4 linked regions of the Anolis sagrei genome follow. The protein of the gene in region 4 purifies or fractionates together with the protein of the main gene of each other region. This does not show direct contact. Links are inferred from orthologs where the notes say so. Each region holds a gene or a part of one and is shown on either strand. Other genes may lie near its edges.

Evidence for each region.
Region 1: the proteins of PSMA4 (region 4) and POMP fractionate together in Homo sapiens (co-fractionation; 4 studies listed by BioGRID and IntAct, with this or other methods). This does not show direct contact. The link is inferred for Anolis sagrei from reciprocal best matches to the Homo sapiens genes PSMA4 and POMP.
Region 2: the proteins of PSMA4 (region 4) and PSME4 purify together in Homo sapiens (affinity purification with mass spectrometry; 4 studies listed by BioGRID and IntAct, with this or other methods). This does not show direct contact. The link is inferred for Anolis sagrei from reciprocal best matches to the Homo sapiens genes PSMA4 and PSME4.
Region 3: the proteins of PSMA4 (region 4) and NFKBIA purify together in Homo sapiens (affinity purification with western blotting; 3 studies listed by BioGRID and IntAct, with this or other methods). This does not show direct contact. The link is inferred for Anolis sagrei from reciprocal best matches to the Homo sapiens genes PSMA4 and NFKBIA.

Annotation. Positions count from the first base shown.
Region 1 is NC_090023.1:31,782,480-31,790,311, reverse strand, and holds the start of POMP (proteasome maturation protein), read right to left. Parts: upstream 3,410-7,832; 5' UTR 3,303-3,409; coding exon 3,300-3,302; intron 1-3,299. UniProt on the Homo sapiens protein: Molecular chaperone essential for the assembly of standard proteasomes and immunoproteasomes. Degraded after completion of proteasome maturation. Mediates the association of 20S preproteasome with the endoplasmic reticulum.
Region 2 is NC_090021.1:17,251,881-17,260,296, reverse strand, and holds the start of PSME4 (proteasome activator complex subunit 4), read right to left. Parts: upstream 3,223-8,416; 5' UTR 3,059-3,222; coding exon 2,856-3,058; intron 1-2,855. UniProt on the Homo sapiens protein: Associated component of the proteasome that specifically recognizes acetylated histones and promotes ATP- and ubiquitin-independent degradation of core histones during spermatogenesis and DNA damage response.
Region 3 is NC_090021.1:301,262,420-301,270,084, forward strand, and holds the start of NFKBIA (NF-kappa-B inhibitor alpha), read right to left. Parts: upstream 3,144-7,665; 5' UTR 3,053-3,143; coding exon 2,835-3,052; intron 2,034-2,834; coding exon 1,925-2,033; intron 663-1,924; coding exon 455-662; intron 1-454. UniProt on the Homo sapiens protein: Inhibits the activity of dimeric NF-kappa-B/REL complexes by trapping REL (RELA/p65 and NFKB1/p50) dimers in the cytoplasm by masking their nuclear localization signals.
Region 4 is NC_090029.1:11,847,649-11,855,674, forward strand, and holds the start of PSMA4 (proteasome subunit alpha type-4), read right to left. Parts: upstream 3,607-8,026; 5' UTR 3,519-3,606; intron 1-3,518. Other genes in the region: HYKK (hydroxylysine kinase), read right to left, coding at 5,686-6,134, 7,920-8,026. UniProt on the Homo sapiens protein: Component of the 20S core proteasome complex involved in the proteolytic degradation of most intracellular proteins. This complex plays numerous essential roles within the cell by associating with different regulatory particles.

The sequences.
Region 1 (7,832 bases), on a different chromosome or scaffold from region 4:
GAAAAAGAAAAAAAGAGTACTACAGTGACATTGCAAGGAGCAGTTAAGGCAGACCCTTACTCCCCCAAGTCACAGATTGCTTTTTGACAAGGTACAACTCAATGAGAAATATGATCATAAAATAAATATCCACAAGATGCGCTCTTATCTCCAACTTCACACATGGCATGGCTCAAAAGACGGTATGAACTGAAACAAAGGGAAATCAATTTTTGCAAATGTAAAGACTGGTGAAGAAGGAAGATAAAGAGCAGAATTGTGTACTATGCATTGTGGCTGAATGAATTGCAGTTTGAGCATCCCTTATCTGGTCATCCAAAATCGGAAATTATCCATAGGGGTGATCTGGGATAGTAAGTGACGCCTTTGCTTTCACATGGTTTAATGTACACACACTTCATTTCATTCTCAAAAATTTTAAAACGTGTCTAAGGTCATCTTTAAGCTAAGTGTAGTAAAACAATCAATAACGTTTCTGCCTCCAGTGGCACAGCAGGTTAAATGGCTGAGCTATGAACTTGCTGACCGAAAGGTCGGCAGTTTGAATCTGGGAAGCAGGGTGAGCTCACACTGTTAGCCCCAGTTTCTGCCAACCTAGCAGTTCGAAAACATGTAAATGTGAGTAGATCAATAAGTACCACTTCAGTGTGAAGGTAACAGTGCTTCATGCAGTCATGCCAGCCACATGACCTTGGAGGCGTCTACAGACAATGCTGGCTCTTCAGCTTAGAAATGGAGATGAACACCACCCCCAGAGTCAGACATGACTACACTTAATGTCAAGGGAAACCTTTACTTTTATCATTATGTTTGCAAGCACATAAGGAGAAGGACAAATTAAATATTCAGCATTATAAATGAGCTCAGAACATGGAAATGACTGCTCCTTTGGGTTTATATCCTTTTGAATTTATAACGTCTTTTAACATTTTTATCAATTTGAGAACTTTTTGTCTTGTATTAGTTGAGTTACATTGTATTGTTAGTTTTTGTTTAATTAGGTGGTAATGTCTTGTTATTGCTTACGTTAAGATTTACTATGTCATTTTAAATTTATGTCATGTCATATTTATTGATTAGTTGTATTACACGGCATTTGAATACTGTCATTTTATGTTGTGAACAGCCGTAAGTCCCCATTGGGGCCATAGGGCGGGATACAAATAAAGTTTATTGTTATTATTTGAAACCTTACCTTCCTCCTTCCCCAGCCTCTACATTGGAAGCAATTGATTTTCCTTCTTGTTTCAAATAGATGTCTCGTTTAGACATGTGTCCCATTCTCAGGGTGCTGCTACACCAGGCGTGGGCCAACTTGGGCCCTCCAGGTGTTTTGGACTTCAACTCCCACAATTCCTAACAGCCTCAGGCCCCTTCCTTTTCCCCCTCAGCCACTTAAGATCAGGCCTGGGCCAACTTGGACCCTCCCTCCAGGTGGTTTAGACTTCAATTTCCACGATTCCTAACAGCCTCAGGCCCTTTCCATTTCCCCCTCAGCCACTTAAGTGATCCAGTGAATGAAAACACATCCTGCATAGGGTTGTTGTATGTTTTTTCGGGCTACATGGCCATGTTCTAGAGGCATTTCTCCTGACGTTTCACCTGCATCTATGGCAAGCATCCTCAGAGGTAGTGAGGTCTGTTAGAACTAGGAAAAAGGGTTTATATATCTGTGGAATGACCAGGGTGAGACAAAGGACTCTTGTCTGCTGGAGCTAGGTGTGAATGTTTCAACTGACCACCTTGATTAGCATTTGATTGCCTGGCAGTGCCTGGAGCAATCTTTTGTTGAGAGGTGATTAGATGTCCTTGTTTGTTTCCTCTCTGTTGTTGTGCTGTTCTAATTTTAGAGTTTTTTTTAATACTGGTAGCCAGATTTTGTTCCTTTTCATGGTTTCCTCCTTTCTGTTGAAATCCACATGCTTGTGGATTTCAATGGTTTCTCTGTGTAGTCTGACATGGTGATTGTTCGAGTGATCCAGCATTTCTGTGTTCTCGAATAATATGCTGTGTCCATCCTGCATATCATAAAAGGAAAAGAATGGGGCCTGAGGGGGAAAAGGAAGGGGGCTGGGATTGTTAGGAATTGTGGAAGTTGAAGTCCAAAACACCTGGAGGGCTCAAGTTGGCCCATGCCTGACCTACACTGTGGAATGAATGCAGTTTGGTACCACTTTAATTGTCAGAGCTCAATGCCACGGAATCCTGGGATTTGTAGTCTGCTGAGGCGCCAATACTTTTTTTGGCAGAAAAGGCTGGAAAGCTTATAAAACTACAACTCCCATGGTTCGATATCTTGGAGCCATGGCAGTTAAAGTGAGGTTGGAAATGCATTAATTCTTGTTATTGTTTAATTGTTTAATTTAATTGTTTGAAGCAATTAATTTAATTGTTTAAATGTTTATTTAATTGTTTATGGAGCCCCTGGTGGCACAGTGGGTTAAACCTGGGTGCCGGCAGGACTGAAGACCGACAGGTCGCAGGTTCGAATCCGGGGAGAGGCGGATGAGCTCCCTCTATCAGCTCCAGCTCCTCATGCGGGGGCATGAGGGAAGCCTCCCACAAGGATGATAAAAACATCAAAAATCATCCAGGCGTCCCCTGGGCAATGTCCTTGCAGACGGCCAATTCTCTCACACCAGGAATCACTCCTGACGCGACAAAAAAAAATTAATTGTTTAATTATTGTTATTGTTTTTATTGTTTCTACTGTTTTTATATGGCTTATGTTATATGTTAATGTTTTTAATTATATTTTATGTTGTTGGGGGCATTGATTGCCGACTGTAAACCGCCTGGAGTCATCGTCGGGCTGAGAAAGGCGGTATATAAATGTGGTAAATAAATAAATTCTCATTTAGACGGCGACCTCACTGTACCTCAGAGATATCTCATGACTATATTTGAGAACCTTCCAAAATTCATTTTAAAAACCCTCAAATCCCAAACACTTGTGGGCCCGAGCATTTCGAAGAAGGGATGCTCCACCCAGTGGTTCTCAACCTGGGGTCCCCAGATGTTTTTGGCCTTCAACTTCTAGAAATCCTAACAGCTGCTAAACTGGCTGGGATTTCTGGGAATTGTAGGCCAAAAATATCTGGGGACCCCAGGTTGAGAACCACTGGAGGCGAACCAGGACCGGCCATGTCTCCGGGGCGAAAAAGAAACCATCTCCGGCGGAATGCCCACATTTCCCTCGATTGGGGCTTCACCCCACCCACCTCCTTTGCAGGCCCCCTCCCCTCACAGGTGTATTTATGTGGACTCACTCTCACCCCTCTTCCAGCCCCTCCGCTTACCATCTTTGCACAGTCACTAGGCACCAAGGACTTCCTTCCGGCTGCGAGGAGCGATGGGAAGAGGCGCGGTGACGTAAGCACGCCCCTCCCGCGCGCATAGGGAGAGAGAGAGAGAGTGAGTGAGTGAGAGTATCACGTGACAAGGATTCGGGCAAAAGAAAACGAAGAGCCCGCTTTCTCCTTCTGTGCGCGCGAGAGGCAGGGGGGCGGGGCTTGGAGGCGTCGTGCGCCTGCGCACTTGGGGGACCCTGATCTGAAAAAGGGAAGGAGGGTGGAGGGGTGGAGAGCAGAGCTTTGCTGCAAAAGTTTTAGAGCTCTTAGAATCAAAGAGTTGGAAGAGACCTCATGGGCCACCCAGTCCAGCCCCCTTCTGCCAAGAAGCAGGAATATTGCATTCAAAGCACCCCTGACAGATGGCCATCCAGCCTCTGTTTAAAAGCTTCCAAAGAAGCTCCTGGGCAGAGAGTTCCACTGCTGAACAGCTCTCACAGTCAGGAAATTCTTCCTCATGTTCAGATTGAATCTCCTTTCTTTTCTTTCTTTTCCTACTTCATGTCATTGACTGTGAAATCCATGCAGTCCGACATCACTGTGACTGCCATTGGAATTGAAGGAGCCCCCGGTGGCGCAGTGGGTTAAAACCCTGTGCCGGCAGGACTGAAGACCGACAGGTCGCAGGTTCAAATCCAGGGAGAGGCGGATGAGCTCCCACTATCAGCTCCAGCTCCTCATGCAGGGACATGAGAGAAGCCTCCCACAAAGATGATAAAACATCAAAATCATCTGGGCATCCTCTGGGCAATGTCCTTGAAGACGGCCAATTCTCTCACACCAGAAGTGACTTGCAGTTTCTCAGGTCGCTCCTGACACGACAAAAAAAATGGAATTGAAGAGTTCCAAGGTCTTTAATCTTCCCTGCCAAATGTTGGCACCTCACCTCACCCACCTGACATCCGCCGGGAAGTAGCAATCAATAGTGAAGGGACCAAAGCAGTGACATCTCCAGCTCATCCCCTGTTTGGATATAAGCCAGCACATCAATGAATGCATTTTCTCAAGTCGCTCCTGACACACACACACACACAAAAAGCCCAGAAGAAAACCAGCAGGCAATTGAGCTGCCACAGCATGGGAGTTGGTTTCTCCCTGAACGATGCTCCAAGTAGTAACCTGGCTGCCAATTTCTGGACCAGCTGAAGCTTCCAAACTATCTTCAAAGGCAGCCCCACAAAGAGAGTGTTGCAGTAGTCCGAATGGGATGTGACTGAGGTGTGGACTACCATTGGCCAAGTCAGGTGTCTCAAGGTACAGGTGCAGGAAGAAATAGCTTCCTAAGATCTACAGGGATATTCCCAGGAACACCTCAGCAAGCGAAAGTCCCAAAATGGCAGGCTAAAACCTGGAGCCTCAATCAGTGGCTGATACCAAATGAGAAATATGGGCACATAGAAGACTGGGTTACTTGGAAGGTGCTGAACAGACTGTGCTCTGGCACCACGAGATACAGAGCCAACCTTAAGAAATGGGGCCACAAAGTGGAGTCCATGACATGTGAGTGTGGAAAAGAGCAAACCACAGATTTACTACAATGCAGTCTGAGCCCTGCAACATGCACAATGGAGGAACCCCTTACAGCAACATCAGAGGCACTCAAAAGCGGCCAGCTTCTGGTCAAAGAAAATACAGTATAATGCCAAGTTTTTAACTTTATTTGTATTTTTTTATACATTTCAACTGTATTCTCAATTCACTTCAGACACAATAAAAAAGTCAAAATCAGCTACCATATAAAGAATTTCAGCCTGTGCTCAAGCGTTTTCACTAACCCAGTACATGGTTTGGGAATTCCTAATTCAGAAATGTCTCAATTTTATTTATCTTTAAAAGGCATGTAGGAAATGCGCAAATGTAATAATGATCATGTGCAATGTGATATTATGGATTGGTGCCCTGTCCTTTTATGATTTCATATAAGCGCCTTAAGAAGGCTTTATGAGCACCCATGGACTGGAACGTTTTATGAGCAACTTAAGACATGCCTCTTGTTTCTTCTGTAAGGTCACCACCGACAATGCCAAAAAGGATTGTCAGAGTAGAAGGAAGGGCCAGGTGTTTGCGAGGAGAAAGCACTCACAATTTGACAATTTAATGACTTCTTTTGGAGTCTTTTCTGGTCTTGGAATTACATGGATGAGGGTTGCTCACCAGATCCTCCTCCCTCCTCGCTTTTATGCTAAAAATATTTGTCTGCCTCAGTTCTGCAAAGATGGTAGAAAAATGCTCTGAAAATAATTATTTATTTGTTCGTTTGATATCCTTGGGTACACTTTATCTGGTTCTGGCAGCATTTGCAGCTTTAGAGCAGAGCTTTCTAAACATTTCACGTTGGTGGCACACCTTTTTAGACATGCATCATTTTGTGACACAGTTATTCAGTTCTACTAACAACCCAGAGGTTAAACCAACCATGTATAAGAGATACATACATAAATTGTAATAAAATGTGTGGAGACTCATCATATCTCATGAGAACTTTTCATTTACATTTAATTTGTTGTTTATTTGTTCAGATGCTTCTGACTCTCCGTGACCTCATGGTAAAAGGTCTAGAAACCAAGCCCCATGAAAAAGGATTGAAGAGATGGATAATTTAAGCATGGAGAAGTTTGACATATAATTTGATTGCCATCTTTAAAAGCTCTATAGAAAGTTTCTATAGAAAGTTTCTATAGAAAGTTTAATGTGTTGTCCATTAGATCCCTATTTTAAAGAGCATCTCCTCTGCTGTTATTTTATATTTTATATAGTGATCTGTTATAGTATTCTATATGTTATCTGAGGAGAAGGGCCAAGGATCCTACCATGCTACAACTTTTGCAATAGCACCAAATAGAATCTGAATGACAGTTGACATTACAATCATTTCCACATTTGCAAATTTGATTATTCATGGATTTGTTTTTCTAAGAATCTCGAGTTCCTCCATTGTGACTTTATGGTCAATTACTTCCAGTCATGCTGGAAGACAGGGGCCTCATCTACACTACCTTATAATGCAGTTTGAAACTGCATCATATGGTCAGTTTTAACTGTGTTATATGGGTTAACACTGCCCATATAACATTTCAATCTGCATTATATGGCAGCGTAGATAGGGCCCCAGAGATTTCTATTATTATTATTATTATTATTATTATTATTATTATATCCTTCAGGAAGGAAGAGGGGCCAACCAAGGGCAAGATGGATGGATGGCATCCTTGAAGTGACTGGACTGACCTTGAAGGAGCTGGGGGTGGTGACGGCCGACAGGGAGCTCTGGCGTGGGCTGGTCCATGAGGTCACGAAGAGTCGGAGACGACTGAATGAATGAACAACAACAATCCTTCAGTGCAATTCTATGGTCAGTTTTCAGCAGATTTGGCCATTCCTAGAAAAGAATTCTCTCAGGTTAAAAAAAAAGCAATGCTTTATTTGTGGTTATATATATATATACATTTATTACGGCCAATGACCAGCATAAAAAAGGTACAAGTGACAGGGTGTGCAAGTGTCAGAGTACGCACACATGTACAAGCACAAGTACAGAAGTATACAAGCATCAGGTTACACACACATCCGGGTATCAGGAAGCAATGTTAAAACAGAGTTTAAAACCCAATATTGAATATGGTAATTAAAGTGGTGTTAAACATTCAAATACTAAGATATGAATGATAAAATATATGTTAAAACTTTCTAAGTCTGTGTCAGCATCTTGGGGCAACAAGCCATAGCTGCTGCACAGAAGCTAGCAATCCTGACAGTGACCTTGGGGTGTTAGTCAGACAGGAGATAATCTGTATAAAATCTTGCAGATCTCCCTGGTAGACTTTCTAGAATTGGATTTATAAAATGTTTACGAAGGTCACGGTAAAAAGAGCAGTACAACAAAACGTGCTTCACAGTTTCCACTGTCTCGTCCTCACAGGACATAGGCGTTCATTGTATGGTACTTTGTTGTATCTCCAATACAACAGTGGTTTTTCACTTTTACAGGGGCCCTGTGTTCCTAACCCCAGCAAATGGGGCCTTTTAAAAGAAGTTTTGTTGAATGGAGAAGGGATAATTTTGTATCATTTTTACATGTACTGGTATTTTTAAAAGAAATGTTTTTTACACTTTTGCCATTCATTTTGCTATTTGTGTATTTATTTATTTATTTGCTATATTTATATCCCACCCTTCTCACTCCAAAGGGGATTCAGAGCGCCTAACATATAAGGCACAATTCAATGCTACACAACATACATCGAGCAAATAAATATATACATTAAAAACTGCTAAAAACGTATCAAACATTAAAATCCAGTTATTAAAATCACGTAATTCAATATCAAAATCCAAGGCCATTCCAACTGTCATTGTACCATTCTGCATTCACATCTTGTATCCTGTTATCTTGTATCCTGTTATGTTTGCAACAATGTATAGCTATAAGTAATAAATAGTCATATGTTAGTTTGGTTTAGTGCTGATAATTTCATACATTTT
Region 2 (8,416 bases), on a different chromosome or scaffold from region 4:
CCAGGACATCAAACATGACCCTCCATTGAGAATGATAAATATCCCCAACTAAGCTTTTTGTGTGTGTCAGGAGTGACTTAAAAAACTGCAAGTCACTTCTCCTGTGAGATAATTGGCTGACTGCAAGGATGTTGCTCAAGGGACACCCGGATGTTTGATGTTTTACCATCCTTGTGGGAGGCTTCTCTCATGTCCCCGCATGGGGAGCTGGAGATGACAGAGGGAGCACATCCGAGCTCTTCCCGGATTCGAGCCTCCAACCTGTTGATCTTGAGTCCTGCTGGCACAAGGGTTTATCTCATTGTGCCACTGGGGGCTCCCCTAACTAAGCTCAAGGGGGGGGGGGGGGTTATCTTACTACCATCAATCATTTGGATGGTGTCCTGAAGTCCTTAAATGGAAAGCAGGTGTCATCCTGCCTAAACTTTTTTCACTCATCGTAAACCCTTTCCAGCTCACCCCCCCCCCCCAACTAACAAAATGCCCCCCTTTTGGAGGGGGGTTTTGAAAGGAGACCATGCTCCTCTGAGGACTAAATCCTGCCCTAACTTCTCCTCACCCCACAGCCACCCACAAGATCACCCTCCAACTTTTTGGAAAGGTGGGTTCTGGAGCTTTTAAAAAATAAAAATTCCCCTTGTAAGGCTTGACCTTGTCCCAGCCTTCTTTATCCTGCCACAAAATCTTTCCTCCTCTTTAGCAGGCATGGCCAGTGCCCTTCCAGACCACTATCACACCTATCCTCAACTCTTTTGGAGGGAGGGGCTTCTGGAGTCTCTCCACCTGCCCTCCTAGCCCATCCATGGGCCACTCACATGCCTATCCTGGACCCTTTTGGATCGAGGGAGAGGGGAGGGGCTTCTGGAGCCCTTCCCAAGCAAACCTTCCCCCTTTTAAGACTTTATCCAATTTCAGGAGTCTTTCAAAGTAACCCTCTTTAGGGCTTCATCCTGCCTCCACCTGCCCTTCAGGGTCAGTAACATGCCTATCCTCAACCCTTTTGGATGGATGGATGGATGGATGGATGGATGGAGGAAGGGAGAGTGTGGGCTTCTGGAACCTTTCTCAAAACAAACCTTTCCACTTTCAAGATTTCTTCCAATTTTGGGAGTCTTTCAAAGGAACCGTCTTTAGCAAGTATGGACAATGCCCTTCCAGCCAACTAACACACCTACCCCCAGTCCTTTTGAATAGAGGAAGGCTGGGTGGGCTTCTTGAGTCTTTCAAATGAACACGTGACCCTATATAGGCCTTCGTTCTGCCTCCACCTGGCCTTCGAGCCCACCCCAGGGCCACTCACACACCTATCCTCAACTTTTTGGGATGGAGGGAAGGAGCGTAGGGGGCATCTGGAGTCTCTCAAAGGGACACTCAAACCTCTTCAGGGCTTCATCCCGCCTCCACCTGCCCTTCCAGCCCACCCCAGTACCACTCACACACCTATCCTCGACCCTTTGGGATGGAAGGAAGGGAGTGGGGAGCTTCTGGAGTCTTTCAAAGGGACACTAACTCTCTTCAGGGCTTCATCCTGCCTCCACCTGCCCTTCTAGCCCACCCCAGGGCCACTCACATGCCTATCCTTGACCTTTGGGATGGAGGGAAGGGGGGGAGTTCTGGAGTCTCTCAAAGGGACACTCAACCCTCTTTAGGGCTTCATCCTGCCTCTACCTGCCCTTCTAGCCTACCCCAGGGCCACTCTCACGCCTCCTTTGGATGGAGGTGGGGGGCTTCTGGAGTCTTTAAAAAGGACATTCAACCCTCTTTAGGGCTTCATCCTGCCTCCACCTGCCCTTCTAGCCTAAAACAGGGCCACTCACACACCCATCCCCAACCTTTTGGGATGGAGAGAAGGGGGTGGGGGGCTTCTGGAATCTCTCAAAGGGTCACTCAACCCTCTTTAAGGCTTCATCCCACCTCCACCTGCCCTTCTAGCCTACCCCAGGGCCAATCACACGCCTCCTTTGGAGAGTGGGGGGCTTCTGGAATCTCTCAAAGGGACACTCAACCCTCTTTAGGTCTTCATCCTGTCTACACCTGCCCTTTTAGCCTACCCCAGGGCCACTCACACGCCTCCTTTGGGATGGAGGGAAGGAGAGTGGGGGGCTTCTCACACGCCTATCCCCTACCCTTTGGGATGGAGAGAAGGGGGGGGGAGTTCTGGAGTCTCTCAAAGGGAAACTCAACCCTCTTTAGGGCTCCATCCCGCCTCCCCTTGCCCTCCTAGCCCACCCCAGGGCCACTCACACACCTCCTTTGGGATGGAGGGAAGGAGAGTGGGGGGCTTCTGGAGTCTCTCAAAGGGACACTCAACCCTCTTTAGGACTTCAGCCTGTCTACACCTGCCCTTCTAGCCTACCCCAGGGCCACTCACACACCTATCCTCAACCCTTTGGAATGGAGAGAAGGGGGGGGGGGAGTTCTGGAATCTCTCAAAGGGTCACTCAACCCTCTTTAGGGCTTCATCCCACCTCCCCCTGCCCTCCTAACCCACCCCAGGGCCACTCACACGCCTATCCTCAACCCTTTGGGATGGAGGGAAGGGGGGAAGGTTCTGCAGTCTGTCAAAGGAACACTCAACCCTCTTTAGGGCTCCATCCTGCCTCCACCTGCCCTCCTAGGCCACCCCAGGGCCACTCACACACTTCCTTTGGGATGGAGGGAAGGAGAGCAGGGGGCTTCTCACACGCCTATCCTCTACCCTTTGGGATGGAGAGAAGGGGGGGGGGAGTTCTGGAGTGTTCCAAAGGGACACTCAACCCTCTTCAGGGCTCCACCCCGCCTCCCCCTGCCCTCCTAGCTCACCCCAGGGCCACTTTGGGTGGGGTGTGGGGTGGGGGTGTCCTTCTGCCACTCACGTGGAGAGCTTCCTGGTCCAGAAGAGTCCCCCTGGCCAGAGCTCCTGCAGCTGTACGGCCCGCCCGAGGCTGAGCTTGATTTGCGCCAACAGCAGGCCGGCCTCGGCCTCCAGGCGCTCTCCGTAGGGCAGCAGCTTGTTGTAGACCAGCTCCTTCTGCCAGGCCGCTCCGGGAGGCCGGGGCCCGCTCCCGAGGCCGGCCATGGCTGCGGGGCGACGGCGGTGGAGGGCGACGAGGAGGACGACGAGGAGGAGGAGGCGCCTGCCTGCCTGCCTGCCTTCTGGCCGGCTCGGCTCCTGTCACAGCGGCGCCTGGTGACGAAGGAAGCCACGGAAGCAGCGAACCAACGACCGCCGGCCTCGCGCTGGAGGGGGCGGGAGGGGCACAGGTCACTTCCGGTGAGGGAGGGGAGGGGAGGGGAGGGGGGAGGAGGAAGTGGAGGGGGGAACTGGAGGACACGCCCACACGGCCATGCCTTGCCTGAGGTGCCTTTGGATTACAGCCTCTCCTCTCCCGCCTGAGGGAAGCTTAAGAGGCTGAGGGGGGAAAGGAAGGAAGGGGCCTGAGGCTCCAAAACATTTGGAGGGAGGGCCCAAGTCGGCCCATAAAGCCATTGTCCTCCCAATGCTGTGAAACGCCTGCAAATATGGACTGTCTACATTGTCACACTCCTAGAACGATTCCATCACTGTTGCCTGTACAAGAACGCCAATATGCTGATGATAACACACTCTGTGCTCATACAGAAGAAAACCTACAAACCACTCTAAACGCCTTTGCAGATGTTAGGGGAAACTACCCGAAAATATAGCAGAGTATCCAAAAATAGAGGGAGAAACCGTGGAGGCCGTGACAGACTTTGTATTTCTAGGTGCAAAGATGACTGCAGATGCAGACTGTGGCCAGGAAATCAGAAGACGCTTACTTCTTGGGAGGAGAGCAATGTCCAGTCTCGATAAAATAGTACAGAGTAGAGACATCAGACTGGCAACAAAGATCCGCCTAGTCAAAGCCATGGTATTCCCTGTAGTAACCTACGGATGTGAGAGCTGGACCTTAGGGAAGGCTGAGCAAAGGAAGATCGATGCTTTTGAGCTGTGGTGTTGGAGGAAAGTGCTGAGAGTGCCTTGGACTGCGAGAAGATCCAACCAGTCCATCCTCCAGGAAATAAAGCCCGACTGCTCACTGGAGGGAAGGATATTAGAGACAAAGTTGAAGTACTTTGGCCACATCATGAGGAGACAGCAAAGCCTAGAGAAGACAATTTTGCTGGGGAAAGTGGAAGGTAAAAGGAAGAGGGGCCGACCAAGGGCAAGATGGATGGATGGCATCCTTGAAGTGACTGGACCGACCTTGAAGGTGGTGACAGCCGACAGGGAGCTCTGGCGTGGGCTAGTCCATGAGGTCACAAAGAGTCGGAGACAACTGAACGAATGAACAACAAATCCAAAAACAAATGATAATAATAATTGAAGTCAATAATCAGAAACTTCCCAAAGCACAGCAGACAAAGAGTCAGTACAAGAAAACTGCACTCCAAACCAGAGCGGACAGCTGGCACAACAAAGCCTTGCATGGGCAGTTCCTTGACAAAATTGAAGGAAAAGTTGACAAGGAGAAGACCTGGTTATGGCTCACGAAGAAGGAGACAGACGGCCTGATTCTTGCAGCCCAGGAGCAAGCCATCAGAACCAATGCAATTAAGGCCAGGATTGAAAAATCAGCAGATGACCCAAAATGCAGACTGTGCAAGGAAGCTGATGAAACCATGGACCATCTCCTAGAATCATAGAATCAAAGAGTTGGAAGAGACCTCATGGGCCATCCAGTCCAACCCCCTGCCAAACAGGAATATTGCATTCAAATCACCCCTGACAGATGGCTATCCAGCCTCTGTTTAAAAGCTTCCAAAGAAGGAGCCTCCACCACACTCTGGGGCAGAGAGTTCCACTGCTGAACGGCTCTCACAGTCAGGAAGTTCTTCCTAATGTTCAGATGGAATATCCTTTCTTGTAGTTTGAAGCCATTGTTCCACGTCCTATTCTCCAGAGCAGCTGAAAACAAGCTTGCTCCCTCCTCCCTGTGGCTTCCTCTCACATATTTATACATGGCTAACATGTCTCCTCTCAGCTTTCTCTTCTTCTGGCTAAACATGCCCAGCTCTTTAAACCACTCCTCATAGGGCTTATTCTCCAGACCCTTGATCATTTTAGTCGCCCTCCTCTGGACACATTCCAGCTTGTCAATATCTCTCTTCAATTGTGGTGTCAGATTCAATTTCTTTTCTAGTCAGACATGGCTTCTTGTGATATATCCATGGTACAATAATTTTGGCATCTAGGGGGGCCACTCAGGCTTAATATGAAGGAGGCACTACATAGGGAGGAAACGTAAAATCTCCACACAAACCCACACCTGTGAGGAGAAACTGAGAGGTAGGAGAACACTGGGCTTGACCCACTCCCACACTGCCGTTCCTTTCCCTTGTCTGAGGTGTCTCTAAATTATTAAGCCTGAGGGCAAGGGAACTGTTTTGTCCTTGTCAAACACCTTCATCTTCATCATCACAACATGTTCTTTGTTGCCATCAGCTCACTTTAACTTATGAATGAGAGACTTCCAAGTCATCTGCTCCTCAACAGTGCCATGCCCTTTCCTTGTGTCATGTCTTCAGATTGTTAAGCCTGAGGGCAAGGGAACTGCGCTTTTTTCTTGTTGAACATCCTGTACAGTGTTGACGTTGTGTAATTAGTTTGTCATCTTTATCATTACCACACATTCTTTTTTTGCCTTTAAGTCAACTTTGGTGCTCCTATAAATGAGAGATCTCCAAGAAACCCTTTCCACTACAACTCACCTGAGGTCTTGCAGACTCAGAGCCATGTACAGAACTATATGATAACCAGCAGCCCTCCCTCCATGTTTACAGATATTATTTTTGAGGATTTGGTTATTCACGGATTTGATAAAATATGTTCATTCTAGGAATCTAACCCCACCGAATGTGGAGGACATACTGCAATTTGCCATCATCCCCTTCACCATCTGGAACAGACTAAGCACTTGCCTTTCACCACTCTATTCAGAGAAGAGGAGGGATCCTTTTTTATAAGAGCTCAGGTACAGTATTCACATTGGATTTTAAACTAAAATGTCTAGACTTATACATTAATATATAGAGTAATTATCATTACTGCGTGCTTTTTTTTGTTGTCAGCTGATTTCAAGTTGGCTTTGACTTAGGGCACCTTATGGATGTTAGATCTCCAAGTTAACCTATTGTTCTGTTGCACGCTGGGCTTGAAATAAATTGCTTTTAAAACAGGACGTGTAACTTTAGCCCAGTGGGAAGCCAGGGGGTCCGAAGAGAAATTCATAAGGATTTTCACCACAAACAGTCTTTAGAGGGTTTGTGAAATATAACAAATTCTTTTATTGGTGAACAATCAACAGAAACTTCCTTTGTCTTCAAAAGGTTAAACAAATGCTTCCAGGCCTTTGTGCAACTGGTGGCTTCTAACTGTTACTTTTACTCTAAGGAAAATCCCTTTCCAAACTTCTCCCAGGTTGACTGTGAACCTAAACCTAACTGATGTGGGCGCCACTACTGGGTTGAATGCGTCTCAAAGCACCAAGTGGGCCTACCAGTAGGCCTGTAGTAACTTCAGCTGGAGTTCTTAGATATTCAAAGCTGCTTTTCCCTCCAAAATTCCTCAGAGCTTTAGGGCTGTTTCCCTGGAAATCTTTGGGAATCCTTTTGTTCTTAAGACTGTTCTCCCCCGGGAAGTCTTAAGGGTTGAAGCCTTTGTACAGGAGAAGTCTGTACACACGTCCTGTACATTGGCTAACCTAGCTGAGACTGACTGAAAATGGCTCCCTTCCCTTCTCAATTGTCCTGAACAGGGGGCAGAACCAAACTTAACGATGAGGGACAGGGGGCCTGCCCTATAACTGCAAACTTTAACAGGAAGCCACCCTTCTACAGAATCCCAAGCCTTGGGCTACAAGCAAACACTTAATACAAGGCAAATAAAGTGGGAGCTTCTGGTACAGCTGTACCAGCACACCTATCCTCAACAGCCCTGCTATTTATACAAAATGCAGTATATGAGATTAAACAACCAAAAAATTAAAAACCATATTAATATTTCATTTTTGCTTGTTTACATCATTGGAGAGGCTGCACTCCATGAAAGCTGATGCCAAACACAAATGTATTGGCCTTTTAAGGTGCCACTGGACTCAGGTATTTTTGCTAAGGCAGATGAAGAGTCCACAAAAGTTGTGAAAAATTAAATTTCACCTCTATAAACAACACTTTGAATCCAAACTGGGGTAGAAGTTTTATAGGCTGCCTACAGCCCTTTCTACATTGTCCTTATATCCCAGGATTGATCCCAGGTTTTCTTCTTTGAACTGGATTATATGAGTCTTCACTGCCACATAATCTGTGATAAACAGATAATCTAAAATCAGAACCTGGGATATAAGGACAGTGTAGAAGGGGCCTAAGAAAGTTGCTAAACCTTACTTACTTACTTACTTACTTACTTAGGCGATCCCTCATTGGCCAAGTAGGATGGTCTTCCAGAATCAGTATTCTGGTGGGTCCGTAGGTGACTGTGGAGCCCTATTCTCGATCTGCATGTTCTCCCACAGTGAGGGCATTGGTTTCCAGGTGGAAGGCGGTCTCAGTCGGGGTTGGCTTGACAGGCCTTCCTCTTGGCACATTTCTCTCTTTCGCCCTCCATTTGTGCCAATTCAAATTCTGCAGCACTGCTGGTCACAGCTGACCTCCAGCTGGAGCGCTCAAGGGCCAGGACTTCCAAGTTCTCGGTGTCTATGCCAGAGTTTTTAAGGTTGGCTTTGAGCCCATCTTTAAATCTCTTTTCCTGTCCACCAACATTCTCTTTTCCGTTCTTGAGTACGGAGTAGAGCAACTGCTTTGGGAGACGGTGGTCGGGCATCCAAACAACATGGCCAGTCCAGCGGAGCTGATGCCGGAGGACCATCGCTTCAATGCTGGTGGTCTTTGCTTCTTCCAGCACACTGACGTTTGTCCGCCTGTCTTCCCAAAAGATCTGCAGGATTTTCCGGAGGCAGCGCTGATGGAATCGTTCCAGGAGTTGCATGTGACGTCTGTAGACTGTCCACGTCTCGCAGGCATATAGCAGGGTTGGGAGGACGATAGCTTTATAAACAAGCACCTTGGTATCCCTACGGATGTCCCGGTCCTCAAACACTCTCTGCTTCATTCGGAAAAATACTGCACTCGCAGAGCTCAGGCGGTGTTGTATTTCGGTGTCAATGTTGGCTTTGGTGGAGAGGTGGCTGCCAAGGTAGCGGAAATGGTCAACATTTTCTAATGTTACACCATTAAGCTGTATCGCTGGCATTGGACAGGGATTGGCTGGTGACTGCTGGAACAGCACTTTGGTTTTCTCAATATTCAATGACAGGCTGAGCTTCTCGTATGCTTCTGCAAAGGTGTTTAGAGTGGCTTGTAAATCTTCTTCTGAATGCGCACAGACAATGTTGTCATCAGCATACTGGAGTTCTAT
Region 3 (7,665 bases), on a different chromosome or scaffold from region 4:
GGGTACAGTGAGGCTATTTTCTGGAGCCTGGGCAAGTGAAACTATGGATATTGGATCCATACTTGTATATGAATGCGAGGAAGAAGATGCCTTGAACTTCCAGCTTTCATAAGTCTCAATTATACAGCTAAATTACCATACTACAGAATACGTGTGGGCAAACTTTGGCTCTCTGGGTGTTTTGGACTTCAACTCCCACAATTCCTAACAGCTGGTTTGCCCATGCTTGCTGTAGAAGCTGTACTCCAAAACGCCTGGGAAAACTTGCTATGAATGGATCAGGGGGAAAAACCCTGCATGCCTTCTCTTAACTACGTGACACTTGCCCCAGTAATCTTTATTGAGAGCTAGCCAAGAAAGTCACTTATTCATTGGGCAAAACTATGATGCCAGAGGTCGAAGTGTGCAATGACTGGGCAAGTTGACGTCAGTGGTATATCAGATATGAGCTTACCATTGTAGTTGGATGACTGTAGGAGGGAGCAGACTTGCTTCTGACAATACTGTGTGAGGACACCGACGCTGCTGAGAGAGCCCCGCTCACAAGCAATGTGCAGAGGAGTGTTTCCTCGGAAATCTCTGATCTCTGGGTCACATCCGACTTTCAGGAGAGTCTCCGCGATCTCTGGCTGGTCCGTGATCACAGCCAAGTGGAGTGGAGTCTGCAAGGGCAAAGAATGGCCTGATAAGCAAAGGAATTCTACTAGACTTCAAACCCTCACTTCAAGCACCATTTCTAATGAGGAAGTGGTTAGATATGCATGATTGTTTGCAAAGACCTTGCAAAACTGCAACTCCCACAATTCCATAGCACTGAGCTACAGCAATTAAAGTGGTATCAAGCTGCATTAATTTTGTAATGAACCATCCCCAAGTTGAAGTCTGAGGTCCCTTCCAGCCAGGCCCTATATCCAAGGATCTGATCCCAGGTTTTCTGTTTATCACAGATTATTTGGTGAGGAGTCATATAATCCAGTTTAAAGCAAAAAACCTGGGATCGGATCCTAGGATATAGGGCCTGCCTGGAAGGGCCCCAAGTGTCTGGGATTCGTCTCTGAATAGCGGGCTCTTCCCACGAGCCTAGGGCAGTGATTCTCAACCTGTAGTCCCCAGATATTTATGGCCTACAACTCCCAGAAATCCCAGCCACTTTACAAGCTGTTAGGACTTGAAGGCCAAAAACATCTGGGGACCCTGACCATTGAACAAGCCGGATAGGGCTACTGCATGTTGGAGGTCCAAACAGCTGGAGGGTGCCTGGTGTAGATGAATCCAAATGGGCAACTTAATGGATGATGTCCCCTACTACCAATTCTTTTTTTTTGTTTGTTTACTTTGGGGATAACAGTTCAAGATCTGGTTTGCTGTGAGGTTTCCAGCCTGTATGGCCATGTTACAGAAGCATTCTTTCCTGACCCTCTATTCTGCCTTGGTCAGACCACATCTGGAATATTGTGTCCAATTTTGGGCACCCCAATTGAAGGGAGATGGGGACAAGCTGGAAGGCGTCCAGAGGAGGGGGACTAAAATGATCAAGGGTCTGGAGAACTAGCCCTATGAGGAGTGGCTTAAGAGCGGGGAATATTTAGCCTACAGAAGAGAAGGCTGAGAGGAGACATATTGAGGGTCATGTATAAATATGTGAAGGGGAAATCATAGGGAGCAGCCTTGTTTTCTCCTGCCCGCGGAACAATGACTTCAAACTACAAGAAAGGAGATTCCACTTGAACATGAGGAAAGACTTCCTGACTATGAAAGCTGTTCAGCGGTGGAACTCTCTGCCCTGGAGTGTGGTGGAGGTTCCTTCTTTGGGAGGCTTTTAAGCAGAGGCTGGATGGCCATCTGTCGGGGGTGCTTCGAATGCGATTTCCCATGGGGTTGGATTGGATGGCCCACAACATCTCTTCCAACTCTCTTAAAGTACCTGATTGAGGTTATTCTGGAAATTCAGGAAAGCCGTGTCTCGTTCCGCTTGGCGAATGATTTCCAAACTCAGGGACTTTTCCTCGTGAATAATTGCCAGATGGAGAAATCTGCAAATGTACAGAAAGAGAGAAAAAAAACATTAATTTTAAAAAAAAATCATTTTTATTAGCAACAATTTCAGAATAATAATAAAAGAGTGAAAATAGGAAAATAGGTAAAATAGAGAAAAATAAGTAAAACCTCCCCAAACATACCACATACCCAAATTCCCTAAGTGTTTTTAAAATAATCCCTGAGATCAGCTTTGTCAAAGGAAAGGAAGCACATAGACATCCCACATGTCAGGACCAGATGTTGAAAGCTTGGAGTTTCCAAGGCTCGCGCATGCGCCTGAGCGTGCATCCGGGTGTTTTCCGAAAGGAGAGGAGGAAGCAGTGTGAGAGAGCGCGGTGTCCCTGGCGCGCGGCCAGGGACTTTCCAGGCGGGCGCCTCGAGGACAATAAGCCACGCCCACCCCTCCCTGAAGCCCCGCCCAAAAGGAAGAATGGAAGGCTGGAAAAACCCAGCCTTGCAAAAAGAAAAAAATTCCCCAGGATTTTTATGTAACTGGAGGAGGAAAGGGGAAAAAACAAAGGAGGAGGAAGGAAAGAATGAACAGAAAGTGGGGAACTCAAGTTTGGGCAAAGTAGATCAGGTATGGGCCAACTTGGGCCTTGGAGGTTTTTGGACTACAACTCCCAGCATGCCTCACGGCCTCAGGCCCTTTCCTTTTGCCCCTCCGCCGCTTAAACGGCGGAGGGGCAAAAGGAAAGGGCCTGAGGCCGTGAGGCATGCTGGGAGTTGTAGTCCAAAACACCTCCAAGGCCCAACTTTGCAGAAACCCCTTCCTTTCTTCCCTGAGGACTTACGTGTCTCCATCTTCGGTCACTTGCTGCTTCCAAGCCGCCTGAGGAGCCGCCACGTCGGGGAGAACCGGCTGCAAACGGATGCCTTCCAGCTCCCGAACCAGATCTTCATACTCCTCATCCTTCATAGAGTCCAGGCCGCTGTCATGGCGGTCCTGGTCCAGCTGGCGCTCCTTCTTCGGGGCCTCCATGGCGAAGAGATCCACAGCAGGGCTGAGCATGTCGAGGAGGAGAGGAGAGAAATGTGCCTGAAGGAGGAGAAGCGAGAGAGAAAGGCGGGCGGGCGGGGCTGGCTCGGGCCTATAGCGCCTCGCCTGGAAGGGGATTTCTCGGCGGGGAGGAGCCTGGCGGCGGGAATTTCCCAGCCCAGCCAGCCAGAGAGGAATTCCCTCGGAAACTTGGTGCTTTTTTTTCCACACCAGGGAAAGTACTTCTCTTCTCCACGGCTTGTTATGTGACTCAGGAGAAGCCACCCCAACTGCCCCCCCCCCCTTGTCTCAATCTTTGCCCCTTGAGAAGAAAGACAAAACAAGGCCCAACCATTCCTTCTTGGGATTTTCCTCCCTATCTGTTTTTCCCCCCTCTAGTAAACTAATCTGGCCTTGGGTGGCATGTTATTTTCGTAGGGACACCCACAAAAGGAAGGGGATGGGGTGGCATTATTATTATTATTATTATTATTATTATTGGGTATTTATTTATCGCGTCAGGGGCAGACCAAACAGTTGCATTGCATTTTTTAACAAACAAACAAAACACAAAGTTTGCAAGCTTGGTAGTTGGTTAAATGTCCTTTCATAGAATCATAGAGTTGGAAGAGACCTCATGGGCCATCCAGTCCAACCTCCTGCCAAGAGGTAGGAATGTTGCATTCAAATCACCCCTGACAGATGGCCATCCAGCCTCTGTTTAAAAGCTTCCAAAGAAGGAGCCTCCACTACACTCCAGGGCAGAGAGTTCCACTGCTGAACGGCTCTCACAGTCAGGAAGTTCTTCCTCATCAAGTTTGCAGACGACACCAAATTGGGAGGGATAGCCAATACTCCAGAGGACAGGAGCAGGATTCAAAACGATCTTGACAGATTAGAGAAATGGGCCAAAACTAACAAAATGAAGTTCAACAGTGACAAATGCAAGATACTCCACTTTGGCAGGAAAAACGAAATGCAAAGATACAGAATGGAGGATGCCTGGCTCGAGAGCACTACGTGTGAAAAAGATCTTGGAGTCCTCGTGGACAACAAGTTAAACATGAGCCAACAATGTGATGTGGCGGCAAAAAAAGCCAATGGGATTTTGGCCTGCATCAATAGGAGCATAGCGCCTAGATCCAGGGAAGTCATGCTACCGCTCTATTCTGTTTTGGTTAGACCACATCTGGAATATTGTGTCCAGTTCTGGGCACCACAATTCAAGAGAGATATTGACAAGCTGGAATGTGTCCAGAGGAGAGCGACTAAAATGATAAAAGGTCTGGAGAACAAGCCCTATGAGGAGCGGCTTAAGGAGCTGGGCATGTTTAGCCTGAAGAAGAGAAGGCTGAGAGGGGATATGATAGCCATGTATAAATATGTGAGAAGAAGCCACAGGGAGGAGGGAGCAAGCTTGTTTCCTGCTTCCCTGGAGACTAGGACGCGGAACAATGGCTTCAAACTACAAGAGAGGAGATTCCATCTGAACATGAGGAAGAACTTCCTGACTGTGAGAGCCATTCAGCAGTGGAACTCTCTGCCCCGGAGTGTGGTGGAGGCTCCTTCTTTGGAGGCTTTTAAGCAGAGGCTGGATGGCCATCTGTCAAGGGTGATTTGAATGCAATATTCCTGCTTCTTGGCAGGGGGTTGGACTGGATGGCCCATGAGGTCTCTTCCAACTCTTTGATTCTATGATTCTATGATCTGCCTGTGACAAAGAACTAGTGGGATCACAAGCCTGAAAAAGTTACAGAAAATGAACACGTCAAACTACTCTGGGACTTCCAAATTCAGACAGACAGAGTTTTGGAGCACAATACTCTTGACCTCACATTTGTGTTAAAACCAAGTATGGATAGTTGATGTTGCAATCCCAGGCGACAGCAGGATTGAAGAGAAACAACTTGAAAAGCTGTTTCTAAATCCACAATATGAGGATTTAGACTCTGGCGCAAGCCAGTAAAGACTCTGGCGCAAGCCAGTAAAGGTGGTCCCAGTGGTGATTGGCACATTGGGTGCAGTGCCTAAAGACCTTGGCCTGCACTTAAGTACAATCCGCGCTAACAAAATTACCATCTGTCAGTTGCAAAAGGCCACCCTACTGGGATATGCACGCATTATTCACCAATACATCACACAGTTCTAGACACTTGCAAAGTGTCCGATGTGTGTCCGATGTGTGATCCAATACAACAGCCAGCAGAGTGATCTTGTTTGCTGTGGACACGTTGTGTTCCAAATAATAATAAACAACTGGAAATGCTGACATGATACGATGATTTAAAGATCGAACTGCAAAGATTGGCACAAGCCAGTAAAGCTAGTCCCAGAGCCTAAAGACGGAAGTTTCGGAAAGTTCTGACTTTCTTTTGGAAAAATTTGGAAGTGACTTTAGAATCAAACCACCAGCACCCCCTATATCCAAAAGGAGTTTTGAATCTTTTTTTTTTTTTTTGGAGCAACCAAGCCTACTATCTATCTATGTGTTACAAATACATCTCAGTGTACATCACAAAGTAACATAGAATATGGACCTGGCTGTGGCGCAGCTAGTTAGTTAGCTGCATAAAATTACTACTGACTGAGAGGTTCTGAGTTCAAAGACAGCCCGGGTCAGAGTAAGCTCCCAACCATTAATAGTCTAGCTTGCTGTCAACCTATGAAGCCTGAAAGACAGTTGCATCTGTCAAGTAGGAGATTTAAGTACCGCTTTTTGTGGGGAGGCTAATTTAACGACGCCATAAAACCTTCCTGCAGCATGCAGAAGAATTGGGAAGTACTTCATCAAAGGACCCGGTGTCACAAGTAGACAGTGAAGTGGCAGCTCCCCCTGTGACCGGAAACAAGCATACCCTCATGAAGCTGGAAACGCTGAAATGTTAAATTGCCTCTATGTCTATATATGTTGCATGTCTAAATGGCATTGAATGTTTGCATGTATATGTGCATTGTAATCCACCTTGAGTCCCCTTTGGGGTGTGAAGGGCGGAATATAAATACTGCAAATAAATAAATAAATAATATCTTATCAATAATATTGCAGCTTGCAAACATGAGGATACAGCAAAATTATATATATATATATAGAGAGAGAGAGAGAGAGAGAGAGAGAGAGAGTTTTCTATGTGGCAGCACATTGTTGGCTGTGAGTAGAATACAGATCAAACTGTCAACATGTATCAATTCACTTCAGTATAGGGCTTGGGCTTGGAAAATTGCATTTTATTGCATATCCTCAGCATGTTTTTTTAAATTCCTGTAAAATATGTCCAGTTGGAGTTGGTACCTTTTTGAAACAAACTTCACACACATATATGCACACACATGTATGCACGCACCTACACACTTCACCATTGCATGATTGCACAGATGAATATACTACAACATGCTGCAACATTTTTGATAGAGTGCCATTTATTTTTTGCTAAGACATTTGGTGCACATTTAAAAGGCATGATCAGATTTTATCTTCTCCCCCATGACTAGTTTTTAGAGACTGTAAAACAGACAGGGGCCCCATCTATATTTGATTCAGTTGCTAGCTAGCTTCAAACTCTGGCGTTTAGAAAATGCATGCTGATAAAGCATGCTGTAGCGTGCTTTAAGGACTTTAAACCAACATAAACTAAGTCAGGGGAAAGTCCAAAAGAAAGCCCTTAATGTGCATTACGGTATTCCAGTATAAACTCCATTTCAAAGCAAAATTGGCTCTGCAGAATGTGAATCACTGTGCAGGCACCCAAAGCACTCTGCTGATGTGAAGATGTGCATTCTGGTTGGGGATTTTTTTCTTTTAAAAAATCATTCTTAGGGGCTGTCAAACCATGGATCCTGAAACCGGTTCAAGGCCAGATTTGGTGGTTTGTATAATCACCTGGTCCTCAAGCTGATTCCAGGATTTCATATGTAATCATTGCACAATGAAATTGCTTTCTTCTATACCGTCTTGAAACTGACTTAAGTGGTCAGTGTAGATGAGGCCAGGGATTCAAGGAAAACATTAGTCTTTAGATGCTTGTAGCAACCATCCCATGCACGTGAGTCCAACATGGGGACAAAGTTTGCAGTGACAGCCTGGTTTATTTAAAAACTGTTTATGCTGCATTTCCTTAAACGCTTGAGGCAGCAGCTTTGGGTTTGCTTCAGCTTTTTGTCAGGCATAAATAGTTTAAGTGAAGCACGACAAGAAGCTGGAACTCTATGTCTTTGGAGATTAGATTACTGCCTAAGAATAATGTGTCTGTGTGTGTGTGTGGGGGGGGGGGGGGTTCCTTGGGTTTTTTTTTTTCCAAGTATGGAACTTTCCAAGTGGATTCTTTATGGAAATCTTTTAGAAGTTTTTTTCAAAATGAAGACATCAATAGTGGTGAACATGTTTTCCCCAAAATACGACGCCTGTAAATATGGATCTTTCCTTGATAATGTGCAAATTGGTGGGTGCACCATCTGGGAAAATCCAAGGAACACTAAAAGGCTAGGAGAGGAGCTTGATGAGAAGGAGTGGGATAGAAAGGAGAATACAACGGAGGGGTTGGCAGAGTTAGACCTTATTGGCTTATCCAACCCAAGTACAGGCAGTCCCCAAGTTATGAACAAGATAGGTTTTGTAGGTTTGTTTGTAAGTTGAATTTGTTTGTGAGTTG
Region 4 (8,026 bases):
ACCGTCTCCCAAAGCAGTTGCTCTACTCCGAACTCAAGAACGGAAAACGGAATGTTGAAGGACAGGAAAAGAGATTGAAAGATGGGCTCAAAGCCAACCTTAAAAACTGTGGCATAGACACCGAGAACTGGGAAGCCCTGCCTGTTGAGAGCTCCAGTTGGCGGTCAGCTGTGACCAGCAGTGCTGCAGAATTTGAAGAGGCACGAATGGAGGGCGAAAGAGAGAAATGTGCCAAGAAGATGGCGTGTCTAGCCAAACCCAACCGGGACCGCCTTCTACCTGGAAACCGATGCCCTCACTGCGGGAGAAGATGCAAGTCAAGAATAAAGCTCCGAGGGCACCTACGGAAACAACGCCAGGACACTACTCTTGGACGACCATCATCCTCGGACTACGAGGGATCGCCTAAGTAAGTAAGTAAGAGAGAGAGGGGCGGCATACAAATACAGTAAATAAATAGTAATTAAATACTGTACTGATTTGTTTTGCTGTAGGTTGTCCCAAGTCCCTTTGGGGAGAGGAGGCGAGATACAAATGAAGCTTATAATGCTTATTATTTGGTTGCTGTAGGTTTTTTTCGGGCTATATGGCCATGTTCTAGAGGCATTCTCTCCTGATGTTTCGCCTGCATCTATGGGTGGTGACAGTCTTGTTGAGAAGGAGACGACTTCCTAGTAACTGAATTCCCAAACCTGGGTGAACATTGCTCTGAGAAGACTTGTAAACAATTGGACTTTCTACCTCTGAAGTGTGATGCATGTGAAGATGTCTTCTGTAAAGACCACTTTGAACGGACAAGCATCCTGAGCTCTGAGGATTACCTGGGAAGGAATCCCACTGGAGCATTGCAACACACCCAAATCCCTGGGAGTAATCTGGACCGTGCTCTGACCTACAAGAAGCACTGCTTAAACATCAAGCAAAAAGTGGGTGCTAGAAATAATATAATACGAAAGCTGACTGGCATAACCTGGGGATCACAACCAGACACAGTGAAGGCATCTGCCCTTGCGCTGTGCTACTCTGCTGCGGAGTATGCATGCCCAGTGTGGAACACATCTCACCACGCTAAAACAGTGGATGTGGCTCTTAATGAGACATGCCACATTATCACGGGGTGTCTGCGCCCTACACCACTGGAGAAACTACACTGTTTAGCCGGTATTGCACCACCTGACATCCGCTGGGAAGTAGCAGCCAATAGTGAAAGGACCAAGTCAATGACATCTCCAGCTCATCCCTTGTTTGGGTATCAGCCAGCACGTCAACAAATTAAATCAAGAAATAGTTTTCTTAGATCTACAGAGACACTTGCTGGAACACCTCAGCAAGCGAGAGTCCAAAAATGGCAGGCTCAAACCCAATGGCTAATACCCATTGAGAGACTCCCTCCTGGGCACACAGAAGACTGGGCGAGTTGGAAGGCGCTGAACAGACTGCGTTCTGGCACCACGAGATGCAGAGCCAACCTCAAGAAATGGGTCTACAAAGTGGAATCCACGACACGCGTGTGTGGAGAAGAGCAAACCACTGACCACCTGCTGCAATGCAACCTGAGCCCAGCCACATGCACAATGGAGGACCTCCTTGCGGCGACACCAGAGGCACTCCAAGTGGCCAGATACTGGTCAAAGGACATTTAATCAACTACCAAGCTTGCAAACTCTGTGTTTTGTCTGTTTGTTTATTTGTTTTTGTTAAAAATGTAATACAACTGTCTGTTTGCTGATGACACGGTAAATAAATAACCCCCATCTATTTCAGGCATCCTCAGAAGTTGTGAGGTCTGTTGGAAACTAGGGAAATTGGGTTTATATATCTGTGGAATGATGTCCAGAGTGGGAGAAAGAACTCTTGTCTGTTGGAAGGGAGTGTAAATGTTGCAATTGGCCACCTTGATTAGCATTGCCAAGCCTTGTAGCTTCAAGGCCTGCCTGACTCCTGCCTGAAGGAATCCTTTGTTGGGAGGTGTCAGCATATTATTTGAGAACAAGGAAATGCGGGACCACTCTCAGAACCACTGGCCACCTGCTGCAATGCACCCTGAGCCCTGCCACATGCACAATGGAGGACCTTCTTGCGGCAACACCAGAGGCACTCCAAGTGGCCAGATACTGGTCAAAGAACATCTAATCAACTACCAAGCTTGCAAACTTTATTTATTTATTTACTTACTTACTTTATTTGTATACCGCACTATCTCAGCCCGTAGGCGACTCAGTGCGGTTTACAACAGGTCAATATACAAAGTGCAAAGCATTAGCATTAACATTTAAACAATAACTAAAGCAACTAAAACAATACAACGACACATCAGTAAATCAACATGACATCAATACATCCATATAACTAATCCAACTCACTGCTCACTGGAAGGAAGGATACTAGAGACAAAGTTGAAGTACTTTGGCCACATCATGAGGAGACAGCAAAGCCTAGAGAAGACAATGATGCTGGGGAAAGTGGAAGACAAAAGGAAGAGGGGCCGACCAAGAGCAAGATGGATGGATGGCATCCTTGAAGTGACTGGACTGACCTTGAAGGAGCTGGGGGTGGTAACGGCCAACAGGGAGCTCTGGCGTGGGCTGGTCCATGAGGTCACGAAGAGTCGGAGACGACTGAACGAATGAACAACAACAACAAATCCAACACGTCTCATCAGTAAAGTCATAATCCGATCTCCTCGTCCATTATTCCAAGTTCCAAATTCCAAGTTCCAAACTCAGTCAATTGATTGCACTACTTAATTGAATGCCTGTTCAAAGAGCCAGGTCTTCACTCTTCTCCTGAACGCCAGCAGGGAGGGGGCCGATCTAACGTCTGCGGAAAGGGCGTTCCACAGCTAAGGGGCCACCACTGAGAAGGCCTTGTCTCTCGTCCCCGTCAGCCGTGCTTAATGTCCTAACTGGTTCATAGGGGGTGATGCGTTCGGACAGATAGGTCGGGCCAGAACCGTTTAGGGCTTTAAAAGCTAAAGCCAGCACTTTGAATTGTGCCCGGTAGCAAATTGGCAGCCAGTGGAGCTGGCGCAACAGAGGAGTTGTATGCTCCCTGAGTGCCGCTCCTGTTAGCATCCTGGCTGCCGATCGTTGGACCATTTGTAGCTTCCGAGCCGTCTTCAAAGGCAACCCCACGTAGAGAGCGTTGCAGTAATCTATACGGGATGTAACCAGTGCGTGGACTACCGTGGCCAAGTCAGGGTTTTGTCTTTGTGTTTTGTCTGCCTGTTTGTTTGTTTTGTTCTGTTAGAAATGTAATACAATTGACTGGTTGCCCTGACACGAGAAATAACTAAATAAGGCCTCATTTGGCCCAGGCCTTTTCCAGAGAGTGACAGCCTTGCCGAGTCATCCTCGCCCCAAGAATCCTCCTCGCCCGACGGAGAAGACAGAGAAGGGCTGAAGAGGCACGAACAGGGACACGGAAGATCCTCGAAGGTCCCGGGCTCAGGCTGCCTCGCAAGAAAGGCCGACTAGGCCCCAAAAGCCCCCTTTCCCTCCCTCAGAAGTAACACTTACCCTCAGTTCCGCCTCAGCCGGTATCCAAAATGGCCGCCACTCCCCGCGCAAGCGCACTGCGCTAACTATAGAGAGGGGGCGTGGCTTCGGACAGAGCGTTCGTTCCTCGGAAGTTCCCATTGGCCCGCTACGTTACTTCAGACCGGACTTCCGTGTCGCCAGAAACGCCATGATGAGTGTGGGCATTTGAGATCATCCTTCCCATCTAAAGTGCATCAGATCTTGCCAGCAAGGAATCAAAGCTGCAGTAGGCTGGATCCCATGTATTTCTGCAGTTTCATAGATTCCATGTATTTTAATTTATTTTCACTCTTTCTAATCTTGTGTTTTGATCCCATTTCAATATTTATATTTACACATTTTAATTTTAATTAATTTTATGCTTAATAATTTGTAGTTATGTAGTTTCATAGATTCCATGTATTTATGTATTTTAATTTATTTTCTCTCTTTTTAATCCTGTGTTTTAATCCCATTTCAATGTTTATATTTGCACATTTTAATTATAATTAATTTTATGCTTAATAATGTGTAGTTATGTAGTTTCAAATATTCCATATATTTATATATTTTAATTTATTTTCTCTCTTTTTAATCCTATATTTTAATCCCATTTCAATGTTTATATTTAGACATTTAAATTTTGTGCTTAATAATTTGTAGTTATGTAGTTTCAGATTCCATGTATTTGTGTATTTTAATTTATTTTCACTCTTTTTAATCCTGTGTTTTTATCCCATTTCAATGTTTATATTTACACATTTTAATTTTAATTAATTTTATGCTTAATATTTGTAATGTAGTTTCATATAATCTATGTATTTGTGTATTTTAAATTATTTTCTCTCTTTTTAATCCTATATTTTAATACCATTTCAATGTTTATATTTACACATTTTAATTCTAATTAAATTTTTTTGGAATATGTTTATTTAGAAGATATTGCTCTTAGAGGAGCTGATAGAAGAGAAATGTATTAGTGCAAAGAGACAATACAAACAAACATACGAACGAATAAACAGACATACGACTGAATACAATACAATGATTAATCAATAACAACACTTACCAACACCAACAATTATTCCCCGAGTAAATTTTAAAATACTTCCAGGTTTTGCTGGTCAGGCACCGGGGAGTAAACTATACTTTAATCCCCTTTTCTTTTCTGTTATCTATATTAGTAATGGTGTAATCGCCAGTTTCCTATTACTTTACCTTCAAGTTTCATTAATGTATAGTACTAATATATATCTCATTATATAGCCCTTTTATGCAATACAGAAAGCCCTCCCAGTTAGTCCTAGGGGGTTTTGCTATGCTCTGCGAGATTTTATGGGTGAGGATGTCCATATTCATAATATCCCATATTTTCAGTAACCATTGCTCCACAGTTGGTGCCTCCTTGGATTTCCATATTCTAGCTACCACTATTCTTGCAGCAGTGGTGAAGTAAAAAAAAAAAAGCTTTTCTGTGTTCTTATCCTTAATGGAGTCAATTCTAATTAATTTTATGTTTAATAATTTGTAGTTATATAGTTTCATAGATTCCATGTATTTGTGTATTTTAATTTATTTTCACTCTTTCTAATCCTATGTTTTAATACCATTTCAATGTTTATATTTACACATTTTAATTCTAATTAATTTTATGTTTAAAAATTTGTAGTTATGTCACTTCTCAACAAAAGTTTGCTCCAGGCACTGCCAGGCCATCAAATGCTAATCAAGGTGATCAGTTGAAACATTCACACCTAGCTCCAGCAGACAAGAGTCCTTTGTCCCACCCTGGTCATTCCACAGATATATAAACCCATTTTCCTAGTTCCAACAGACCTCACTACCTCTGAGGATGCTTGCCATAGATGCAGGCGAAACGTCAGGAGAGAATGCCTCTAGACCATGGCCATATAGCCCGAAAAAACCTACAAGAACCCAATAATAATAATAATAATAATAATAATTCTTTATTATTTACACAACAGGATTAGTACACAGCAAACAAGAACACTGTTGGCTTTTGTATTGGATCCCACGTCGAACACTTCCCAAGTTTCTAGGTCTGTGTGATGTTTTCATTCATTCATGGCCATAGATTACAATCCCAAGAATGCCCAGGAAATTTATTGCAAATCAGGTCCGCAACTACAGGCTTGTGAAAGTCAATTCAGGTATCGTAAGCCTTTGCGGTCTCAAACCAGATCTTCTCAACGGCCTCTTGGCCCATCTCAGAGAGAGTCATCAGGTGCTTCCACCCCGTCTTGGCCGTGATCATCAAATAGTCCTTATTCTCAGGGTGCTGGAGACTGGTGTGGGCCGCCATCACAAGGGACTGGACGAATCTCCCGCTGACCAGCAGGAAAAGGGCGGCCCGTTCCTCCGGGGTCAAAGGCACCACGCTCTCGAATCCGGCCAAGACGTGGCCTCCCACGCGGATGGGATCCTGGCTTTCGATCATCATGTACATGATGGCGATGGCCACTTCGAAGACGAAATAGCCATAACTCATGTCGCAGAAGTCCAAAATCCCCGACACTCTGTATCTTGGCTTTCCAGGGGAAGAGGAATCGGCTTCTATTAAAATATTGTGGTCGTTGAGGTCACCGTGATTGATGCCTAAAGGAACGAGAAGGAAAACCCAGGTAGAAAATTCATTGATTTGCAAAAGTAGAGGTCGATAAAGGTGGTTTGGGATTGCTTTAGAGTTGCAATGAAGTGCTCAAGTGGTTTTCGTGACTGATAGGAATATATTATTATATTTATTATATTTATCTATAATAATTGCCCAAGTGGTTTTCATGACCACTTGGGGTCATGAGGATTTAATAATAATAATAATAATCATCATCATCATCATCATCATCATCATATCCCAAGTGGTTTTCATGACTGAGTGGGGATTTAATAATAATAATAATAATAATAATAATAATAATAATAATTGCCCAAGTGGTTTTCATGATATTACTGAGTGAGGATTTAATAATCATCATCATCATCATATCCCAAGTTGACTTTCATGACTGAGTGGGGATTTAATACTAATAATAACAATAATGATTGCCCAAGTGGTTTTAATGACATTACTGAGTGGGGATTTAATAATAATCATAATCATAATAATCTTAATCATTATCATCATAATATCCCAAGTGGTTTCATGATTGGGGATTTAATAATAATAATAATAATAATAATTGCCCAAGTGGTTTTCATGACATTACTGAGAATGTAATAATAATAATCATCATCATCATCATCATATCCCAAGTGGTTTTCATAACTGAGTGGGGATTTAATAATAATAATCATCATCATCATATCCCAAGTGGTTTTCATGACATTACTGAGTGGGGATTTAATAATAATAATAATAATAATAATAATAATATAATTGCCCAAGTGGTTTTCACGACATTACTGAGTGGAGATTTAATAATAATCATCATCATCATCATATCCCAAGTGGTTTTCATGACTGGGGATTTAAAAATAATAATAATAATAATAATAGCCCAAGTGGTTTTAATGACATTACTGAGTGGGGATTTAATAATAATAATAATAATCACCATCATCATCCTATCCCAAGTGGTTTTCATGACTGAGTGGGGATTTAATAATAATGATAATAATAATAATAATAATAATAATAATAATAATTGCCCAAGTGGTTTTCATGACATTACTGAGTGGGAATTTAATAATCATCATCATATCCCAAGTGGTTTTCATGACTGAGTGGGAATTTAATAATAATAATAACAACAACAAAAATAATAATAGCCCAAGTGGTTTTCATGACTGAGTGAGGATTTTAATAATAACAAGAATATCAACAATAATTTTCAAACTGTACTTAATGTAATACCGTTTTACTGTATTACAAAAACAGTTTTATTAATGCAAATTTAGTTAAATAGCAGTTAAAATAGATTTTATTCCAATTTTATTTGAAGTACTTAAGATTATTATTGCTTGGATATATTTTTGGATGCATCTACACCAGGTGCAGGCAAACTTCAGCCTTCCCGGTGTTAACATTCCTACCGGCTGTTAGGAATTGTGGGAGTTGAAGTCCAAAACACCGGGAGGGCCGAAGTTTGCCCAGGCCTGATCTCCATTATGGAATGAATGCAATTTGACAAGGCTTGGACTGCTATAGCTCCGTGCTATGGATTCCAGGAAGTCTAGGGAGGCACCAAGTAAAGACTTTGTCAAACTCCCATCTCCAGTGATGTCATAGCATTGAGCCATGGCAGTTAAAGTGGTATGAAACTGCATTAATTTTACAGTATAGATGCACACTTTGGTATTTTCGGACCAGAAGCTTGTTCTGGACAGGAATATATCCTCTCCAGATATACCAATAATTGTATCAAAGTGCTTAAAACCACTTACAAGGCCGAAAGGAGCTTAATTTTGGCACGATTTTGGCGTCAAATTGCTCTATCACCTGCTTCACCACGTCTAGGTAACTGCTCTGACCCAAGGCGCGAATGTACCGC